2 linked regions of the Oryzias latipes genome follow. The protein of the gene in region 1 purifies or fractionates together with the protein of each later gene. This does not show direct contact. Links are inferred from orthologs where the notes say so. Each region holds a gene or a part of one and is shown in the gene's direction. Other genes may lie near its edges.

Region 1 (11,444 bases):
GTCGGCTGAAAGCTGGAGGCCAATGATGGCTGTTACCTTTTGGTAGTTTCTCCACGTGTCTCTGGATCTCCACATCCACGCAGAAGTGAATGTAGTTGTCCTCCTTTCTGGTGGCTACGGGCGTTTCCTGCACCGGATTCAGGTCAACGCCGTTCACATCTGTAGGTGGAGGAACATCGAACGCCATCATCGAGACTCGAGAAAGAAGCTTTTTTTAACCTCTCCGTTGCGTCGTCTCCGTACCTTTAACGCTGACGGTTATGTAGGGGTCGATGCACTGCCCAGCATCCTTTAACCCGATTTTCTCAATTCTTACTGTGAGTAGTGTTATTCCAGGCTCAGAGGGTAACCGTGGTAACAAGGTGCCTGTGGAAAGTTTGACATTACCATCAGTGCCTTGTGATCAGATTCAGTTTTTATTTAAGGACATTCTTCACTTTAAGGTTAAACATAAATGAAAATATTTGCAGAATTACGGATTTATTCATCTCCCTGAAGTGTTTTGAAGCCGCATACCAGATAGTTAATTATTTCAAACCATCTCTGAGGTTACCTGCAGACTGACACGTCTTTGTTGAATGTTTAACAGAAAACCTAAGGAGTTCCTCAAAACATAATGTCACTTTTGAGGGAACGAAACAAAAGAAGCTCTGATGAGAAAAACGGGCACTAAAAGACAAAACGCCGTACCTTGAGAAGCTGGAAATGAATCGGGCAGGCAGGGATGAGCGATGAAGACATGCATGACTCCGACAAAGAGAGCAAAGACGTGCATGGTCAAATGGCCCTCACAGATGAGGAGACGTGAACGAAACGGATCAACGAAACGGCGGCCGGGCGGGTGGGGTTTACCGTACCAGGAGCTCGCGACGCGAAAGCCTCAGACGCACACGCCCCCGCATCCTCATCATCGTCCAGATCGAGATCCTCCTCCTCTCCTGGAGCCAGGATTTTTCTGACCAACAAGAAGAAGAGCTTTAAAACTAAAGCAATGCTTACTCCCGTACAATAAACAAACTCAATTCTTTACCTCGAGGGAACGGGCTGGACATCAAAAGGAAATTCTTTATTATAGGTGAGGATATTCTCTATTACTGCAAACAAAAACAAATAAGAGAAAAGATATTGTTAAAAAAACCCAAAGGTTCCAATAATTCATACAAATGTTTTGTTGTTTACTTACTGGTTTCTAATTTTTTCAGGTCCTCTAATTTGAATTCTTCCATTGACTGTGTGCACTGAGGAAATGCATTTAAGGGACATTTGAGCTCAGATAATTAAATCAGGATCTTTCTAATAAACTGGTTTATTTATTCAAAGACACAGAAACATTTTTAAAATGCCAAAATAATAGAAAAAAATGGAACAGATCAATTTTAAAGTCAGTCCCAGCAACCAAAAAAGCTAAACAAATACTTAAATAAATCCTAAAGGAAGCAAAAAACTTGAACAAAAAATGCAAGTAAAACCATTAATGTTTAACAGAATTAGCAAAAGGCAACAACAAAAACCAAAAATTTGAAACAGAAATACAAATGACTTAAAGTACCAAAAACATTTTACAGATGCAAACGGACAACAAAACTGACACAAATACATCCAAAAGTGACATCCAAGTGGACTTTCTTTATGTCTGCCCTTACACACACAAACACAAAGACAATAAAAGTGACACAAACCTGCAGACTCGCACTTCTCATCTCCAGGCATGTTGCAATCTTCCCTAAAGTTTTCTGGACAGAAAAAAGAAACGTTGTTTTTAGCTGCAGAAAAGGATAGGAGCGCTGCATAAATTTGCAGTAAATCAATAAGATCACCTTCTGCTCTTCTGTGAAATCTGTGGAACTTGTTGTGTGGATCTCTTTTTGCATTTGCCTCGCTAGACTAAATAAAACCACAAATAAACACAGAACATCGTTAGTTCTTACAAAACACAATAAATCAGACATTGTGAAGAATAGTTAGAAACTGCCTTTAACTTTTATTACACTAATGGTTTAAACTTAATTCACTGAGCATGTATTGTCATCTCAAAATTGTATTACATTTGAAGACAGCACAGCCAAGCTATTGTTCTAACAGTTTCTTCTCATACTCCCTTTTTCTGTGCATGTGTGATCTCCTGAGCAGGCCTCAGACTTATCTTCACTTTAGCCTTGGAACTGCTCTCCAGCAGTAACCTGTGGGCGTGTTTTTCACACGGGGTCCATCGGACGATCTTCTGAATATGCAAATGCATTTATACCAACCCCATCCCTGAGCTCGTTGGTTCGGACTTTGAATGCACCATGTTCATCTGTCTGTCCCCTTCGTGTTTGTACGAAGTAAAACCTCCACAAAAGATAAGTAACTGTCGACAAATCCAGTTTCTTCACATTTGCTCCTTCTGAGCCGGCCGGCACGCCCTGGACATCGCTGGAACCCCTGGGGGGGGTTGCCCGAAAACCGCTAGCCACATCCTCAGCATTGAAACATCCGCCTTCAGGATCGGCGGCCCTTGCCCTTGGATCCGGTGGTGCCCTCGGCGACTTCGGACCCTCATCAAATGGCGAGGTTCATTGCTTGAAGTGAGTACGCCACACAGAAAGTCTGTCCTCTCTTTACTTATTAGGGCTTTATGTTGACTGTGTCTGTGTCCTTGTGTGTGCGTGCATCAACGTTGGGGGAAGAATAGAGAAACGGCTGCAGTCCGCTGCGCGAGCACGCTGAACAGAGCACCGCTTGCAGGCAAGGTGCTGCGCGTGCACGAGTCATCCTGCGCGGACGGGAAAAGTGTGGGCGGCGCGCGAGGCTGCTAGTGTAGGCGCCTTCCCTCCTCGGTGGGAATGGCAGTGTAGGGATGGAAGTGTAGGCATAAGTGTAGGAGCAGCCGCGGCGAGTGAGCCGAAGAAATAGAGCCTTGGGAGGCTGAGTGTGACTTTTGAGACGAAACGGAGCTCCGGGGAAACTATGTGTGTGTAACGCTTTTTATATCTCTCTGTCTGTGTCTGAGTTTGCCCTTTTTCGACGGCCCCTGTGGTGTGTGCTCGCTTTGAGTAATGACTCCTTATAAAACAAAGATAAGTAACTGTCTCTGAGTCATTATTCATTATTTCTGTGTGCAAGAAACTGACGGGGTTACGAATTAATACAATACAGTCCTTTCTAGAAAATCCAGTTTCTTCACAGACATGTTAAGTTCTTATCGTTTACTTAAAAAAACTGAAAATAAAATGCTTTTATGAAGGACATGTTAAAATGTTTCCATCACAACTGAAATTATTTTTAAAAGTCCCCTTCCGATCATCTTTTGATCTTTTGTCAAAGTGTTCCCAGTGCTCTTTTAGTTATGATTATGCAACAAAAATGGCGAGCTGTCCAGTCTAGTTGTCTACAAATGGATGCATAAGAATGGAACAGGGAGCTTGTTTTCTACGTCACAAATACAATCTTTTACAAACAGATTTTTTTTCTTCTGCTCTTGAATAAGGAAAAAAGAAATTAGAGAGGAAAATGTTAACTTTATGTTCTTAATGTTTGTCCTTCATCGTGAGAAAAATGCCACAAAAGCATGTTAAAAATTCATCTGAGTGGGAACTTTCAATTTAAATGTCAGTTTTAACCCAGATATTATTTCTTTTTTGGGGGGAAATGCATGTGGTCACCCATTTTATGCAGAAATATTGCAGAAAATGTCCCTAACGGCGTTCCATACATTTGAAGTTTGTACATATTAAATTGCAGTCTGTGTATTCACGCCCTCTTGTGGCCAACAAAAGCACTACCAGGTAAACCCGATATTAATATAATAAAGACAATTACAGCAGATAATCATAATAATTAAGTAATAAAGCAGATCACTTCATGAAAAATGTGATTTTTGAAAAGTTAAAAAATGGCGTTTCTCTCTGAACACAAAGAACCCGCCCAGAACAACGAGAGGGTGTGGCTGACTGTTTCTCAATTCTCCGCGGAGCAGCTGCTGGCTCCTTTAGAGCAGAAAACACACACACACGCACACAAACACAACACAACACCCAAGACGAAACTGAAACCGGGATGCAGCAACCGCACGGAGCTCTGCTGCCACATCCCGTCATCATGGAGGGCAGGGATGTATTTACTGCTGACAGCTGCCGGGGCAACTTCTGTCTCCCACGGTCCTTATCCCCGCAGCTTTTACCACAGGCGGAGCAAACACGCATGTTGTAGACTTACATTTGGTATTCATCTATCGCCTCCACCAACTGCCCCCACGAGTCAAAGTCTGAGCCTTTCCTAAAACTGGCGTGCCATTTCTGGATAGTCTTGTTTACATCAGACATTTTGTCGGGAGGATTCGTGCGGCGCTCTCAGGACAGCATATCCGAGGAGGAGGCTCATCTGCGGGGCTCCAGCGTCGGCCAGTTTGCCTGCTCGTCCGGTCCAGAGTTTGGCGCACAAACCGGTGACACCCCGACCAAGCCCTTTCAGCCTGGCCGACCCTGATGTGACATCCGCGGGCGAAAGGAAGTCCCGCCCGAAAGCCTTGGGTTTGCTCGATTTGAAGCGCGGGGTCGCCCGGAAGATCTGAAGCCTCGTGTTACTATTACATTATTATTATTATTATTATTATTATTATTATTATTATTATTATTATTATTATTATTATTATTATTATTAATAATAATAATAATAATAATAATAATAATAATAATAATAATAATAATAATAATTGTTAAAATGAGAAAATTCACACACAAAACAAACAAAACAAAAATATTCATCCTGTTTATAACACAAAAAAAACAAGTAAACAAACATAGGTTCCAGTCTTTAACGTAACTTACATAACAATCACATGCACCTTGTAGTTGTTTCCTTTTAATACATCGGGAATATTTTGAACTCTCACGTGTTTTACAATCAAACTCATTATTTTTTAGAGTGGTGCTTGATATTACTTTATTGAGTTATTAAAAAACAATTTAACTAAAGTATAGACATATTTTCAAACAAGCTGTTTTAAACTTAATAAATAGTATAAATGTTAGCAATAAGTTCAGCCATTAATTGTTCTTTAGAATATATTTAAACCATTTTAACCACTTTACAACAATTAAAGTAAAAAAAAGCCTCTTCAGAGTGTAATGTAATCATCGTTCAATTTAATATATATGTATTTTATTTTTATTATTATAAAAAATATAATTATAGTCTCTTTGGTAAGAAAGCACCGTTGGGTGCCTTATTTTGAAACATCACATGAACACTTCCGGTGATTTCCGGTCTAGTAAAATTATCCCAGAGCTAGCATGGGAGCGTTATGTGACTGAGCAAAGTAACTGTTGCGGCGGCGTTATATCGTTTCTATACCTTTAAAAAATGAGATAATATGGAGAGTACAACCACGGAATCTTGTTCGGCAGAAGAGGAGGACAGCTCGGACTCGGAGGTGGCGTGTCTCATGAGAGTGGGGAAAAAATCCGAGTGGCTTCGCTTGTTCGGAAACACAGAGGTGCTAATGTTCGCTAACTAGCTAAATTAGCTAAATAATCGCATACTTTTCTGTGTTTCTGGTCCATTTCCCCCCCTGTGTTTTCAGCAGTTTGAACTGTGGTTAAATTGGTTTCGACTGCAGGTCACCGTTGGACGCGGGGTGAACGTGACGTACCAGCTCCTGTCAGCGAGTTGTCCTCTGATGATCTCCAGGCTGCACTGCACCTTCAAGAGAAAAGAAGACGGACAGTGGACGGTGACGGACAAGAAGGTGAAATGACGTTCACCATAGATATGTCAGACTTAGGATAATTATTTATGAAATGATTGGAAAATTAAAACGTAAAAGAAGACATAAGCACATAAAGATATACATGCACTTTCTAGGAGGTCATTTAATTACTTAATTGGATAGACATGCACAGTAATACATACAATACAAGACATGGAGTCCATTAAATATTAATTTTGTCAAATGAAGTTTAATTAATATTTTCAAAAGGGGGTGGGAGGAAGCGATTTTATGTTATCGTACCCCTTATTATATTTGTGTGCTTCATTGTTTGCTTTAAAGGCAAGTTTTCCATTTGAAATGTTGCATAAAAATTAGAATTCTGGCTATTTAAATTTAAAAAATGACTATTCGCACGTAATTTTTCAAATATGTGTGGCTATACTTTCTTTCTTGGCTGCGTTTATTTATTTTGCTATTAAAAAAAATAATATCTGTGGCTTAATTAAAGTAGCTGCCCTTGAAATAGTCACAGTGCTCCTTGGTAACCATTCATGTTTTTGCTTTAGTCATGGTGAGACCAGTTAGAGAAAAACGTTCATGCTTATACTTTTCTGCTGACAGCGACAGGTTGTATCTCTGGTATCCTGCACAAGGGGCCCCTTAGTGCTGTTCAAGTTCAATTGTGCACTCTTTGCGTGCAGCCTGTGAATGGCCTAAAAATCCTAAATGGTTTGATGATTTTCAATTAAAAAATGTACATAAATATGAAAGTAACAGCTGATTTCTTATACAGAGTCTCAATGGTGTCTGGGTCAACGGAAACCGTATACCGGCTGATGAAGCCCATCTCCTCAGGCCTGGAGACTCCATACAGCTGGGAGTTCCTGTAATGGGGTCCAAAGTGGAGTTCGACTACGTCCTGGTCCAGCAGCCCCTGAAAGACATTAAACTCCACCTGGCAAAAACGCATAAAGAGGGAGCCACAGCAGCCGCCATCACTGAGAGTTCCAAGAGGAAGATGACCATGGAAGAAGATGAGCCTTCTACCTCAAAGCCGAAGCTGTACCGCCGCTCTTCCTCGGACAAGTCTTTAGCAAAAGCCTGCCCTCCGCCTCTAAAGAAATGCCAGCTGCAACAGAGTCGCTCCCAGCCGGAGGAGACCGCATCCGGCAGACGTGTCCAGGAGTCGAGGCAACGTTCTGATGGCTCCCAACCTCCCTGTGACAACCTACAGATGTAAGCCAACTTTCACTTCCATTGTAGAATACACAAGTGAACACGCAAAAGGGAAAAAGTTCAAATAAACTTTATTTGCAGTTCACCTTTTTCTGTTTTTTAGTGCAATTTTGCATGTTTTTATTTATTAATTTGACTATGTTCAATTATTTTGAATTTAAAAATGTACATACGCAGCACACTGTTCTGCATCTTGTAGAGATTGTCAGACTTCAGACTCCGTGCCATGTCTTCTGCACTGAATGCGTTCAGTTTGGCAAACCTGCATGAATCTTCCATCGCGGTCACACCTTGTTTTCATTCTATAACACTGGACGATCTTTTCTTAAAAGGTTTGAACTTTGAAAGTTTAAACAAGAGAGAAAAGTGTACAAATGTTCATGTCTGTCTGAGAAAAGTGTGTAGCAATGGAGTTTACACCCTTGAAACGTCGCAGATTCAACAGATTGCAAGGTTGTTTTGTTTTTTTAGAACGGATCTCCAGGCGATAAATGAGGGACCACTGTATTTCACTAGAAACCCAGAAGAAATACATCAGGCTGAGCCTTCAAACATCTGTGTTTCACATCAAACTAAAATAGTTCCCCACAACACCACCTTTTATTTTAGAAATATCATAGACCGACTACAATAAGCTTAGGAAAAGACCAAACTACAAGCACCACAGATGTAATATTGATGCCATTCCATCAATAAGGCCTGCGTCAAACCCCCTCCCAGACGGAAGTGGCTTTTCCCAGTACTGTTCTCTAATCATGCAGGGTCTCAGAGAGGACTCTGCTCACTGTCCTGCCCCACTGTGAGCATGAATTCAACTAGGTAGGAGTGGCTCCTCAGACTGATTTGTTTCTTTCATTTTAAACATATTAAATAATAAAAGGAAACAGATTAATCAAATCTATTTAAGATACTAAATCATCAATTGATTAGAAAATAAATAACATAAAGCGATACCATCTTCTTGACATTATAAAACATAGACACATTCAGAACAAAAGCCACCTTCCAGTATTAGGGGCCTCACCTGTGGAACCGCTTGGCTGAGGACGTGAGGGCTTCATCCACCCTGGAGGTTTTTAAGAAAAAATCGTATAAATCGTCTTTTTTGCTTAGCTTTTAATTAACTCTTACATTTCCTAGTGTTTTCATTTGATTTTTATGGACTGTTTTTGTGTATTGCATAATGCGTATGTGTATTGGGGGCTTTCCTAATCACTATTTTTATTTTATGTAAAGCACTCTTAAGGTGTTTTACAACAGGAAAAATGCTCTATTTATTAATTAAATATGATGATTGTCAAATATATTTTTGATCAATTGCTTGAAAGGAAGTCGGGAGAATCAAACTTATATGATAATGATTCCTCCTCTATTACATCTTACATTGTTATATAATCTTCTGTCCTCTGAAAAAGCTGCTGTGGAGCTCTAATAACAAGTTTGTCCTGATCTTTTATTTCATTCAGATTCAGTTGCATTTATCTCCTGTATCTAGAAATATGTTGATAGACTGTGTTCATCTGAATCTGCCTTTTTTATTTATTTATGTTTTTGCAGTGACTTCAGCTCAACATGATGCTTGTGTTGGTGCGTCATCATTTTTCTTTCCCAAAACCGTTTGCAGGTACAGTCAGAACATTCTGTTGCTGCGGGAGCAGGTGGATGACACCCAGAGACGGGTAGCATCTCTGGAGGGAGAAGATCAGCAGGGTGACCCGCTGGTCCGGGAGCGGGTCCAGGAGCTGCAGAGTCAGCTGGGGACTCTCCGAGGCAAAATGCACCAGATGGAGACCTTAAAGAAGTCCTTCAGTGAACGGAGGTGGCCAGAGGTGAGGGTGGCTTCAGTCTGTTTTACAAGCAGGATGTGAAGTGAGTTTTGTGGGGATAAAGAAGCATTTTTGTGTGTGTGTTTAGCATCAGAAAACACAGCAGGAAGAGCAAATGAGAAAGCAGTTGAACGATGCCTTGCAAGAAGTAAGAAAATAAAGGAGTTTTCTTTCCGTAGACGGACAGCATTTATGAGATTATGAAGTGACATTATTGAGGATAAGTATTGTTTTTATCTATTCTCAGCAAAAGAAAGTGATCGTTGAACACGCCCTCTCTCGACAAGCCTTCGAAAAGATTCTCTCAGCCAAAAACAAAGAGCTGGAAGCCACGAAGGTCTGTTCAAAATCCTTAGTTTTATTCATCTTCTGCCCCTGAATGCCACAATAAATCACAATATATATAATTAATAATAATCACAATAAATCCTCAGGAGGAAAAGGAAAGGGCCCGTGCCCAGAAAGATGAAGTGGTTACACAAATGACTGAAGTTCTGGAGAACGAGCTTCAGTGCATCATCTGCTCAGAACTCTTCATCGAGGTGGGCTCTTATCAGATTAGCTTCACCTGCAAATGAGAACCACCGACCGTTAGAGTGACATTTTTTGGATCGTCTTATGGTCGTCTTCTGCAGGCAGTCACCCTGAACTGCGCTCACAGCTTCTGCTCCTACTGCATCACCCAGTGGCGCAAAAAGAAAGAAGAGTGTCCCATCTGCCGACAGGCCATCACGTCCCAAAGCCGCTGCCTGGCCCTGGACAACTTCATCGAGCGCATGATGGAGAACCTGAGCCTGGACGTCAAGGAGAAGAGGCAAAGCGTCATCAACGAGAGGAAAGGTGAGAGGTGCGTTTGTGATGCTCGACTGGACCGAAAAGCTTTCGAGTGTTAACCCAGAGCTGTTAAAAGACTTTTATTTTTGCTGTCTTCAGGTGAGCAGGTCTGTGAAAGCAGTGTCCAATCAGGTAAGTGGGGAAATTGGACTGATCTTTCAATGTCACATGATCAGGAGAGGAATTTGTGCGTTTCGTTCAGATTTTTGCACAAGAGGTTCGTTAGTGCTGTTAAGTGATAAATGCGCGCTCCTCGCACGGATCCTGACTGTTAGAAATGAGGAAATTAAACCGTCAGAGCGTAGTTTGTGTGGACATCTAACGGGCACTTGTGTATCATATGCACATCTCATCCGTGCAACATTTGCACACGCTCAGTAAGGAGCCAGTCCTCGATCCTTGCTAACAGCTCAGCCCCGCAATTCTGGAACTCCCTCCCCTCTGATCTACAAAATATGGACCATCTCTCTGTTTTCCAAACATCTCAAAACTCACCTTTTTGCCTTGGATTCATAATATTTAAACTGCTGATTTAACTGTTAACTTATTTTGTGTTTTGTGGCGTTTTGTTGTTATATTTTTATGATTTTACATAATTTTGTACTGTGAGGCGACCTTGAGTGTCTAGAAAGGCACCATATAAATAAAATGTATTATTATTACTAAGGACTACAGTAGGGGACAGCAACCTTTATGACGAGAAAAGCCAATTTGAAATATCCTCTTCAACAACTGTGCCATCACCAAGTGGAAAAGTGACAGTACTGATATAGGTGGGCGGGGTCACAGTAACAGCGTTGTGTGAATGGAGCCTTTCCTTATGACGCCATGAAGGAAAATAGCTCATCGTGAGAAGAGATTTGGTCAAATCCTAAAAATACAAGTGTTCATCTTACACTACATTATTCCCACAAAACACTTACCACAAGCACGACATTGGTACGTTCCATTTTCATGACGTCTCTTGAGGGGACCCTATGAGTTTTAAGGGAACTACAACCCACACCTGTACCCCCCCCTTAAGAGGCAGCCACGCCTCTCTACGACCCCCCACGGGCCCAGACAACCCAAAGACCTGCAGCACCCGTACGGGTCATGTGACTTAGGCTTTGATCATCTTTTCATCTAGTTTCAAAGAATTCCTATTGGTCTTTAATCATGACGGTCATTTTTAGCCAAATAAAAAAATAAATCTGTTGTTTTCATTAGAAATTAGAGATGTGGGAGGGACCATCAGCGCAGAGTAACCCCGCCCGCACTTTCATCTGTTAACACACTCTCCTGGTACCTTGCAGCAATATCGGAGCTACCCAGCCGTACAGTTTAGAACCAATGCCAGCTCAAAATTGATTTTCTTAGTGTATGTCCTCCCTCATGAGAAAAATGCCTCAATAACATGTTAAAAACACTACAAACATGATTTTCACCGGAGTGCATCCCAGGTAGAAACTCAAATGTATTGATCTATTCAGATGTGTTAAAGAGCACAAGTTCCTGAAACAACTTGGAAATCATTCCCTTCATTCTGTCACGAGTGGACTATCTCCTGGTTTTAGGGTTTAATGTCTAAAAATATCAACTTTTGTGACTAGAGTCCATTCAGTGACCCTTTGCTCAAAAGCAGCAGAAAGTGCTGAAGGGTCCAAACCTCAGGGAATGCTGGGAAGCTGCTGGGAGGCTTTCTAATAACATGTCATGGTGTCACCAGAGGGGATCTGCCGAGAGACCCTCCGTTACACAAGATGACAATACAATATGTTTCATCTTCTGTTCTGTTAGCCGGGCGTATTAGTGCTGCGTATGTCAGTGGAGTTTCTCCAGGAAGAAAGGGCGGCTCACTCTGCGTTTCTGTTTTC
Region 2 (11,594 bases), on another chromosome or scaffold:
CGCACAGAGAATCAATCACGGGACTACATATCGTGATATATCACCACGTTGATATTTTGGAACACCCCTACTCATATAATGTTTTGAAAAACTGGCCATGACCCTCATCACAGATTCCATTGATGTCACCAAGGACCTGCACTGATATACATACAGGTCAAACTCATCCACAGAGGACGCCATCTCCTCTGTGGTCCACACAACCCTCACCCACCTAGAGAATAGGAATTTGTGCATCAGCTTTCAACACCATCATCCCACAGACCCTCATACAAAAACTGCACACTTGTGCTGCTGCTTATGTCTGAGGAAAGGAGTAGCCAATCACAAAAGTGTCTCCGCCTTATCTGGTTTGATTGACAGACAGAAACATTCTCCTGAAAAAGCTCTTCATGAAATAAATCAGTCATTGTGAAAAACAGCAACATGAAATAAAAACAAAGCTACTTTGGAAAATATTGATTTTGAAATCCAAGGTTCTGAAAAAAGACGTAGAATTATAATAATATTCCACATGATTAAAAATGAATATTTTAAAATGCTGTTTTAAAATAATGAACAGGTTTTTAACGCAAAATGAAATATGTTGAATAATATAATGGCTAATTTTAAATCTGTGTGCAGCTTTTTCACCATTTCATGATCTTTTTTATATATTTATGAGAGATTTATTGGTTGATTGTGTATTTGCATGAGGTCATATTTATTTATTGAATTAAATATTTATTTATTTAATTATGAACAGGATAGAACTCCATAGTTCTCAGGGCGGACTTCGTCCAGTCCCGGAGCTTTGCTACCGAGGAGCTCATGGACTGCCTCAGTGACTTCAGCTTGAGTGATGGACAGCCCCACCCCAAAGTTCTCTTTCTCTGCTTCCTCAAAACGTCAAAATCACATATTGTAAAAAAAGTATTCCTTCTAAATGCTGATAGATGGATTTTAGAATATGAAACCATAGGAAGTAATTATCAATCAGAAGAGCTTTTAACCATGTCATTCTAAATGTAGCTTCAAATTGATGCCACCTTTGTCATAACTTTTAAATAGTTGGGAACGTTTGATATGGGGGGTTTGTTTTTCCACTGGACCTGAAAAGTAATTGAGTAAACCTTCTTTAACCTTTGTGCTATCTTAGATGCCCCCCCCCCCCCTTCCATTGAGGTGTTCTCCCCACCATGACAAAGGTGGATAAAGGTGGAAAGATTTCATGTAATCCATGGACACCAGTGAAGATCACAAATCATTGAAGAAAAAAGGTTCAGAGCACTGTCTAGTGGGTCTAGATGACCCACTGTCTAGTGGGTCTAAATGACCCAACTCCCAATGTTAAAGTTCCTAGGATAGAACAAGGGTTAAGTTTGGAGAGGATGTGTACAAAGAATAGCAGGGAGAAATTATCTTAGAGACTCCCTCTTTGGTTAACAAATTTCTCCCAAAAATAGTTAAAGCTCTTGTCAGTCAGCGACTTATACTTTGCTTCACATCAAGCAACCAGTTTGAAATGTTGACTTCTTCCGTCCTTATTGTGTTTTTTAGACAATAATGCACCCAGATATTTTCCTTCATTAACAATCCTGATGGCTTCAGTAGTTTGGTGATGACATGAATAAACAGGGATAATTTCACATTTTGTAAATTTTCAAGCCTGATGCTTTGAAAAATAACTGAAACCTGTTTTAGAGCTTTAAAAACCTCTATGTAATTTTTTAGAAGCCACTCCTTTGTTATCCGGGTAACGTGTTTGGGATGGTTGTCATGCTGAAAGACCCAGCCATGCTTCATCTTCAATGCTGATGGAAGGAGGTTTTCACTCTAAATCTGACCATACATGGCCCCATTCATATTTTCCTTTACACAGATCAGTCGTCCTGGTCCCTTTGCTGAAAAACAGCCCCATAGCATGATGCTTCCACCCCCATGCTTTACAGTAGGTCTGGTGTTCTTTGGATGCAGGTCAGCATTCTTTCTCCTCTAAACAGTAGAGTTCCTACCAAAAAGTTCTATTTTGGTTTCATCTGACCATAGGACATTCTCCCAGTCTTCTTCTGGATCCTCCAAATGCTCTCTAGCAGACTGTAGACGGACCTGCACATGTACCGGCTTTAGCAGGGGGACACGTCTGGCCCTGCAGGGTTTGAGTCCCTGGTGGTGTAGTGTGTTACTGATGGTAGCCTTTGTTCCTTTGGTCCCAGCTCTCTGCAGGTCATTCACTAGGTCCCCCATGGGGTTGTGGGATTTTTGATCACCGTTCTTGTGATCATTCTGACCCCACGGGGTGAGATCTTGGGGGGAGCCCCAGATGGAGGGAGACTCACAGTGGTCTTGTATGTCTTCCATTCCTTAATAATTGATTTCTTCACACCAAGCTGCTCACCTGTTGCAGATTCAGTCTTCCAGCCTGGTACAGGTTTGGTTTCTGGTGTCCTTAGACAGCTCTTTGGTCTCCATAGTGGAGTTTGAAGTGTGACTGTGTGAGGTTGTGGACAGGTGCCTTTCTATAGATAACCAGTTTAAACAGGTGTAACTAATACAGTTAACCAGTGGAGGACAGAGGATCCTCTACAGAAGTAGTTACAGGTCTGAGAGACAGAAATCTTGATTGTTTGTCAGTGACCAAAGACTTATTTTCCACCATAATTTACACAAATAATTAATAATAAATAAACTAAATATATAAATTATTAAAAAGATCGGACGATGTGATTTTCTGGATTTTTTTCACATTTTGACCTTAATAAAAAAATAAAGGCCAATAGCGGCAGTCCTCTGTGACACATGGCCGCTGTGACAGTGCATCAGTGTTCTGGTGCCGTGCCACTGGCCTGACTTGGCCTGTGGCTCCTCAATCCAGCGCGCCAGCTGGCCCTCCGGCTCCTTAAAAGACATCAGCCACTGTAGGGCAGCCTGATCAGTCCTGACCGTGAAATGAAGACCCCCCAGGTAATATCTGAAGTGTCTAATGGCACTGACCACAGCGAGGAGTTCCATTCGGGTGGAGCACTAGCCTTGCTCAACTTTGTTAAAGGTCCAGCTGTAGTATGCAACCACTCTGTCCCCCACAGGTCTTACCTGGGACAGAACTGCACCACAGCCCACATTGCTGGCATCCGTGTCCAGTAGAAAGGGCAGAACAGGGTCAGGTGGAAACAGACCAGGTGCTTACCGCTGCCATCTTTTCTGTGTCTATAGGTGTTTTATTCACAGATGGTTTGGGTGGCTCATCTGGATATACATAACAGACAGAGCTCTTCTTTTTTCTTGAATCAGACTTGGTTTTGTCAGTCATGGACAGGGTGTGAACTACATGGGACCCCGATCTAGAGGAAATTTGGTCATCTGGATAACATGTCCATCAGAAAATGTAAGGGTTCCTCTCTTGGTATCAATAACACAACCTTGGGCCCGCAAAAAAAAATCAAGGCCTGGTAAGCATTCTTCCAAGTCAGCAATCCACACAGGCCAATTCACTTGCTGGTTTCCCACCTCCAGAGTCACAACAGCCTCCCCCTGCATGAAAGTCCGTTCTCCAGTAACAGTCTGTAATGTTACAGCGTTAGGAAGGATGGCTGCATTATTCCTCACCACTGCAGGGCAGTGTTGCAGATGAACCTGTGTCCACTAAAGCTAAGCATGACGCTGCATCAACACTCATAGTTGTGAACCAGCAGTCACCAACCCAGGTTCGGCCCAAAGTCATTAGTCTCTCAGATGGGACTTCTTTGACCCCCACATGGCCAGCATTCCATTTCTGTGGGTCCAATCGGGATGGTTTTTCAGGGGGCCACATTGTCCCGCTTATGCGGTCCCGTTCCTGTTTCCTTGGTTGTCCGGGCAGTCACGAATCAAGTGCCCAGGTTTCCCACAACCCCAGGAGGTCCTGGGTCAGCTCCAGTCTCTTTGGGGGCGGACCTTGGATGCCTGTTCGTTTCTCAGGGTCACAGCTTTTACTAGCTGGGTCAGCTCCTCTGCCCGTGCAGGCCCCTTGGTGTCAGGCTCTGATACACTTGCAGCTCTAACCTTTGGAGGGGCCTCAAGCTCCACCCTGGAGGAGGGCCTCCACAGCATTTTTCTCTCTGTGGCCAGCTCCAGGGCCTCCTGCAGTAACTTACGGTGCGCTGGTTGGGTTTGAACGCGAAGGTCGTCTGGTCCCGGGCTAGCTCTTCCTGAATGGCTGGGGGCATGTGAGCATAAATCTGGTTAACTAATCTGTCGATGTCAACAGCCAGAACTCTTAATTGCTCGCCTTGGCCGAAAGAGCTGCCCCGGTAATGCAATTGTAGCGTCCCTTTCCCACACACTGAGGCACGGAGACTTAATCTCTTAACCCTTGTGCTATTTTAGATGACCCCCCCCTTCCATTGAGGTGTTCTCCCTACCATGACAAAGGGGGATAAAGGTGGAAAGATTTCATGTAATCCATGGACACCAGTGAAGATCACAAATCATTGAAGAACAAAGGTTCAGAGCACTGTCTAGTGGGTCTAGATGACCCAACTCCCAACGTTAAAGTGCCTAGGATAGCACAAGGGTTAAGGTTATTTATTCTGGTTACTGTAGGCTGTAACCAATGCTGCACAACTTGCCCAGAAACTCTTGTATCCTCCCGCTGAGAGCACTCCCCCAAACTTTATTCCCTTGCTCCTGCATCAGCCCCATTTCCTTATTCGGGCCATAGCTGAACCCTATTGGACCAAACTCCCCAACTACAGGTTGAGCGACAGAACTGAGAGCCAATCAGCATTTCTGCTTGATGCGTTCAATGAACACCGGAACTTAGAACGCGACCCCACAGCCACCCAGTACACTGTGTTACATAATTTTTCACCACACTGGTTTAAAAAAATAAAAGACCCTTTTGGGTTATGACAGGTTCTTAAAAAATATTTTCCAATAACAAGCAAAAAGAATTGAAAATTGTAATGAAAGCTCTTCCCTCAGGATTATTTCAACTAATGACCTCTCCCCGTAACCCTTGTGCTATCTTAGGCACTTTACCGTTGGGAGTTGGGTCATCTAGACCCACTAGACAGTGCTCTGAACCTTTTTTCTTCAATGATTTGTGATCTTCACTGGTGTCCATGGATTACATAGCGCACCTCACTCCACTCCGTGCTGAAAACAAATCCACACACACACACAAGAAAAACGTGCCAAAGAAACTTCCACTACACACTAAAAAGGAAATAAATACAGTGAGGAAGACGCTGCCACAAGGGGCCCCTTCACCAACACCACACGCACTGGCGCCCGACTCACACCTATGCAACAATAAAAAGGAATCAGAGTCAACAACACAATAAATACAGCACCACTCTAAAACACATTAAAATGTATAATAAGGGTGGGTAAAGAACACGCAGTGGCTCATGACATCTGCAACACGTCCAGCCGCTAACAGAATCTAGTTAAAAGAGCAGAATAAAAATGAGTAACCGGTGATCTACATTCTCCGACAAGAGGAGCTTCAGCCATACATACCACCATGCAGGCAGGCAGCCACTGTCTGTCAACTCACTCCCTGTTCCTTATAAAGAAGCAGAACAGCTGAACTACATCCCCAATCAAGCAGGCATGCACCTGTCACAGGCCGACCTGCCGGTTACTCAAGGGTGGGGACATAAGATAGCACAAGGGTTAAATATCACAAGGCATCTAAAAATAGACCCTCTATTGACAATTAATGATATTGATATTTTCAATAAAAAATGCTACAACAAACATATATTTACTACTTTATATGAAAAAAGAAGCATAACACCTAAAGGAGAAATTTATTGGAATAATATTTTAACTATCATTTGGACAAAAGCATAGTTACTGCCAGAAACATTTGGCATAAATAACAAAATTAAAGAAATACACAAATGAATTCTACATAACATTTACCCCACACTATGTTCATATTCAAATTCTCAAATATAGGAAATAACTGTAGCTTTTGTAATGATTTCCCAAAATCAGTTCTTCGCCTTTTCTGCCATTGTCAATTCTCCCTTAAATTCTGGATCCAATTGAAAAGATTTATAAGCATGAACAGTACTATTATTATATATTTCAAACACATTCTTACATATTTTAACTCGCAGGATCAATTGGTAGGAAATAGTATTGATTTGTTACTACTTCTATTTAAATAAGTGCTGAGTAAAAAAAACCAAAAAAACAATTTTACAGGATTTTTGATAGAGATTATCAATTTTACTAATATCTTCAAAAGATTATTACATTCAAGGCATAACACTGAAACAATATGAGCTTTTTTGCTTGATGAATAGTTCCCTCTACTGAGAAATACTTTAATATATTTTTATTTATTTTTGTTTTTAAATTTTCCTTTTTGCTAACGATGTCCCTGTTAATTTTATTTACATACTATAATTTATTCTTTATTTTTTAAGATAACATTGATTTTTGCCATCTGACGGTAAACTTGCCGATGTGATGTTTACTGTTGTATAAATAAAGTTTCAAAAAAAGAAAAAAGTCATTTTCTCCTGTCTAGGGTTGACCACGTGGGGAGGTCTGTCTTTTTTGCGCATGCGTAGAGGTTGTCACTGATTTTTCAAATCGGACGGCGGGTACCAGTTTCAGCCTTCAGTGCAGCAAGAAGCCCGACGTTTCTTTTCAACGGTTGATTGTCATTTCATGAAATGACGAGTACTTTAAAAGGAATCACCCTTAAAGGAAGCGCGGAGCTGGTGGCCGAGTTTTTCTGTATGTTTCAACATTTGTTTCTGTACTAGCCGGGCTTTTCAACGGCTCTTCCTCATTTGTTGTGTGCTAGCGGGCGGTCGGGCCCGCGTGCTCGGTTGTTGTGTGTAGCCAGCGAGTGTATTTACGGCGGCTCCAGACCGAAGGCAGAGCCCTAAACCGTCGCAGCATTTTAAAAGCCTTCCTTCTGAAGCCAACTTCTTAAAGATCGAATGGCTGCTTCTGGTCGATGTGTAGGTTAATGGCGGCTTTCTAACACCGCCCACCGCCAGGTGTGCTGGTAAAGAAGCCGAGCGTCACCAGAGTTAAAGTAGGAATGCTAGATTTCGGGTTGAACAGACACAAACTACTTATCATCGGCTGAGTAACTAACGTAGAGTAGTGTGGACGAAAAGAGTGTTCTCAGTCTTTGACCTGAATTAACGTCACAACCCCCCCCCCGCTAATAACAGCCCCGTGATCCTCCCCACAGCCTTCGGCATCAACAGCATCCTGTACCAGCGGGGCATTTACCCCCCAGAGACGTTCACCAGGGTCACTCACTATGACATGAGCCTCCAGGTCTCCACGGAGCCCAGGCTGAACAACTACCTGACCAACGTGGTGTCTCAACTCAAAGGTAGTTTGTCCTTTCTTTGTCCTAAAGCAGGCCGTGTCTGTTAGGACTTTATTTTTCTATTTCTTAACATGGAGGCAATGATCAAGATGCAATTCCTGTCTGTCAGCGTCCAGCAAAGGCTTATTGAAGACAAGAGGCGTGGGATATTGTTTCTCTTTACAGATTTATGGGATATGGAGGTGGATGTTGGGATGATTGACACCTCATGTTGTTTCCACGTGTCGATGTGCCTAAATAGTGATGTTTTCCTGCCCAAAAGTCCTCTAAAAGCCCAAAGAGTTCATCATAATTTAGGGTCAGACGCAACATTGAAGAATTTACACAGATTTCTCAAAGTCATTACAGAAATGATGAAATGCATAGATTAAAACCGTAAGTCACATTTGCTTGATTGAATGAGACACAAACTTGTCTTTGTGGTTCTTGTCAGTTTGGTCTTGAAGTTCCTGCATCCCCTCACTTTGTTCCTCCTTCATTTTCTAAGAACTCTTTTGTGTTGTTTGGTATTGAATGGTAACGATTTCCCACTGGCTCTGAATAGAAGTTAAAACACAACAAGATCATACAGTTTTAGAAGTCTGGATTGATCAAATTGTTTGTATGATCAGGATATCCGGCTTTATGTTCAGTTCTGACGGCTCATTTTTGAAGTAAACAGAGGATGTAGTGAACTCTTAGAATCAGTCCCCCAAATTTCTACACAGTCGGTCAAATATGGTAAAATTAAGGAGCAGTGTAATAAATATCTACTGTCGTATTTTAATATGTTTAGATTTACTTATGATGGAAATACTTTTGGAGACTTTATTTTGTGTGTGTCTGATGTGAGGCTTTAACTTAGTTTGTCATCGATAAAAACGCCTGAGAATCTGAATTCTGTAACACTTTAAATTAAGACATTTATTTTAATTGAGACATCGGTATTGGTGTAGTAGTTAGCAAAATATGTCACACTAGTTTTATCTGGGTTAAAGGAGGATTTGTCGTCAGCCATGATTTTATTTTGTGTGACCCTTGTTCTATCCTAGGCACTTTAACGTTGGGAGTTGGGTCATCTAGACCCACTAGACAGTGCTCTGAACCTTTTTTCTTCAATGATTTGTGATCTTCACTGGTGTCCATGGATTCCATGACATCTTTCCACCTTTATCCACCTTTGTCATGGTAGGAATAACACATCCATGTAAGGGTGGGGTCATCTAAGACAGCACAAGGGTTAACTCTATGTTCACCACATTAAGTTCCCTATGATTGTTTGTAGAATGGAATAGAATAGATCTGTCATCAGCAAATAATGAGTTTTAATAGTTGTGAGACATTGAATATATCATTTATGTAAATACTGAATAGCAGCGGGCCCAGAATTGATCCTTGTGGGACACCACAAGCTATCTATCAAGAATCAGCAGAAAATTAGCATCCTGAAGACGTTTGTGTAGCTCGGTTCGTGTGTTGGTGGTGTTGAAACAGCAGGAATAGGTTTTTCTTGTGTCATGTTAGAACAGGCTTGTTTTCCAGATGGACACACCTGGTCCAGGTAAAACGGGACGGTGATCTGCAAATCTCTGAGCCTGGACTTACCTGGTCTGCGTGTTAGGCCTTAAAGCAGGCGTGTAACGCGGGTTTGGGTTTCAGAATGGCTGTTTGAGTGCAGCGTGCAGAAGCTGGTGCTGGTCATCACCTGCCTGGAGACCAACGAGGTGCTGGAGCGATGGCAGTTTGACATCGAGTGTGACAAGTCGGCCAAAGAGAGCAGGTGAGCCCGCTCTCCAGTTCCAAATGTCTCAAGAGGAAAGGAGCTTCTCCAGGGGCTGGCTATCCCACCACCGCTAGCGTGATCCGCGGCGCGCTGTGGCGTGGACGAGAAGCGCATTTCTTCACATAGGCGTGTTCTGAAGCAGAGTTTACATTTAAATGTAGGTCAAGGCTAGAAAACCCATGTTGTGTGTTTCTCTAGCGCTGGCAGCTAAATGCTAACGTAGAAGATATGCAGCTATTGATGACGCCATCCAGGACTGGTAATGTTCAAATGTTTCCATAACTGCTGGAGGGGGGATGGGCAGGAGCTGGGAGGAATTGGGATTCGGTTTAAACCTTAAAAAAGGTTTTCTGTGGGGTTGGGACTCGGCATGTACTCCAAATCAGGTTCTCATTCTGAGGGAGCAAACGTTTCTGTGGTTTTTATTTCAGGCTGCTGCTCTGCCGTCCAAATAGCTACAATGACTGAGTTTATGGAGAAAAGTGTCTTCAAATCCGGACGTTACAACCGCTCCACAACGTCATGAATAGTAGTCGGTCTGCTGCGTTAGCGCTCAGAAAATACACATCATGGGTTTTATTTAAAAAGTCACGCATAAACAAAGTCATGACTTACATTTAAATGTAAACGTCTGTGCTTCAGCGCACACCCACGTGAGGAAATGCGTTTCTCCTCAACGCCACAGCGTGACGCGGATCGTCCTACCAGCAATCCACCACGGCTCCTCCTTTGAATCACTGTGGGACACCACTACAGCTCCAAAATGCCCCTTCAGCTGGAGCCAGAGGGGTAGGGGGGCAGTCCAGCCTTTGTTTCTGTGTGCTGACCTCTGACTCTGATCCTTTCAAAGCAGTGCTCCCAGAGAGAAGTCCATCAAGACCATTCAGGATGAGATCCGCTCCGTCATCAGACAGATCACGGCCACCGTCACCTTCCTGCCTCTGCTGGAGACGCAGTGTGAGTTCCCATAATCCATCTGTGACTCCTGCAGCTCCTCCCTGCTCGGCCGGCCCTCTGATTAGTTGTTCTTGCAGGCTCCTTTGACCTCCTGGTGTATACGGACAAAGACTTGGTGGTTCCTGACAAGTGGGAAGAGTCGGGGCCTCAGATAATCGACCAATCAGAGGAGGTGCGCTTGCGCTCCTTCACCACCTCTATCCACAAAGTGAGCAGCATGGTGGCGTACAAAAGGACCGACTCGGCTTGCAGCACCTGAGCTGCAGACGTTTACTCTGAGCTCATGAGGAACTCCTGCTTTCCTGGACTGGACTTTCTTCTTTGTTGGAGGATGAGGCGAACCTGTGCTCAGTGAGATCTGATGGAACTTTTTGTTAGTTTGTCTGTCCGATCTGTGTTTTCCTGATCTTTCTCCCCCTCAGAAGATGCTTTCGTTTTTTTACATCATTAAATTCTTTTCTCAGTGTGATTTGTGTTTTGTGCGGGGAGCATTTTTGATGCAACTCCCAGCATTCAGTGGGGGTGTAGATTTACGCGATGCATTGAGGGAATTTACAGCGGGAAAGAATCAGGTTCATGAGTGCTGCACCGTGGTCGTCCTGATCATGAGCTGGAGACGGGCGGGCCTGGCAGAACCGTAGGGTTCCTCACTGTACTGGGGGGGTCCGTCTGCTGAGTAGAAGACTAACCCATTTTAAGGTGAAATTCTACAACTTTTGATCAACTACTGAGCGAAAGTGAAACTTTCATAAAGTTATAAGTTCCTTAACCCTTGTGCTATCCTAGGCACTTTAGGCACAGAGCTCTGAACCTTTTTTCTGCAATGATTTGTGATCTTCACTGGTGTCCATGGATTACATGAAATCTTTCCACCTTTATCCCCCTTTTTCATGGTAGGGAGAACACCTCAATGGAAGGGGGGGGGGGGGGGGTCATCTGGACCCCATAGGAGAGCACAAGGGTTACATGAACAGGAGTCAGCCAGAGCCTCGGACACAGACGTGTTGGGCAGCAGATCTCCATCAGGCACCGGTTGTTTCAGTAAACGTGTAGACAAAGATCAAGTCGACAGTTTTCTTGGTCTCTGCTGCCATTGGCAAAAAAGACAAACACTGTTTTTAGTTATTTTAATATATTGAGATGGTTCTTTTATCACAAGACGCTGGAAAGATTCAGAACCATTTTCATCAGCAAATTCTTCAGACTGGTTCTGAAGAATCACCTGAGGAAAAAATAGATATTGTTTGTATCAAACGTCACCTCTAAGAACCATGTGCTCTCAACCAACCGTACAATATAGAAACTCTAATAAATACAAAATAAATATGCAATAGTTTAGACATTGTGAAAACTGTATAAAAGACTAAACGTTTTCGTGTTTGCTGTGAACAAATACAAACTTATCAGGTCATTCTGAAATATCAAATCACCCACCAGTGTGACAGACTGTGGACGTGAGGCGTCAAAAAAGCACGTTGTGCAAAAAGGAAAGCTAAGGTAGAAAATATAGCGTCGTGCTTCATCTAGTCTCTACAGTGTCCAAAC

What was found.
Region 2: the proteins of rnf8 (region 1) and mad2l1 purify together in Homo sapiens (co-immunoprecipitation; 3 studies listed by BioGRID and IntAct, with this or other methods). This does not show direct contact. The link is inferred for Oryzias latipes from reciprocal best matches to the Homo sapiens genes RNF8 and MAD2L1.

Annotation. Positions count from the first base shown.
Region 1 is NC_019882.2:5,927,259-5,938,702, reverse strand, and holds the start of rnf8 (E3 ubiquitin-protein ligase RNF8), read left to right. Parts: upstream 1-5,198; 5' UTR 5,199-5,353; coding exon 5,354-5,476; intron 5,477-5,599; coding exon 5,600-5,728; intron 5,729-6,485; coding exon 6,486-6,928; intron 6,929-8,552; coding exon 8,553-8,757; intron 8,758-8,842; coding exon 8,843-8,902; intron 8,903-9,001; coding exon 9,002-9,091; intron 9,092-9,188; coding exon 9,189-9,296; intron 9,297-9,389; coding exon 9,390-9,594; coding exon of another isoform or gene 9,595-9,601; intron 9,602-9,687; coding exon 9,688-9,720; intron 9,721-11,444. Other genes in the region: aida (axin interactor, dorsalization-associated protein), read right to left, coding at 37-159, 244-366, 691-699, 858-955, 1,031-1,094, 1,184-1,238, 1,680-1,733, 1,818-1,884 and 1 more. UniProt on the Homo sapiens protein: E3 ubiquitin-protein ligase that plays a key role in DNA damage signaling via 2 distinct roles: by mediating the 'Lys-63'-linked ubiquitination of histones H2A and H2AX and promoting the recruitment of DNA repair proteins at double-strand breaks (DSBs) sites, and by catalyzing 'Lys-48'-linked ubiquitination to remove target proteins from DNA damage sites.
Region 2 is NC_019876.2:30,699,833-30,711,426, reverse strand, and holds mad2l1 (mitotic spindle assembly checkpoint protein MAD2A), read left to right. Parts: upstream 1-6,532; 5' UTR 6,533-6,653; coding exon 6,654-6,717; intron 6,718-7,186; coding exon 7,187-7,333; intron 7,334-8,968; coding exon 8,969-9,089; intron 9,090-9,942; coding exon of another isoform or gene 9,943-9,945; coding exon 9,946-10,049; intron 10,050-10,126; coding exon 10,127-10,308; 3' UTR 10,309-10,518; downstream 10,519-11,594. UniProt on the Homo sapiens protein: Component of the spindle-assembly checkpoint that prevents the onset of anaphase until all chromosomes are properly aligned at the metaphase plate.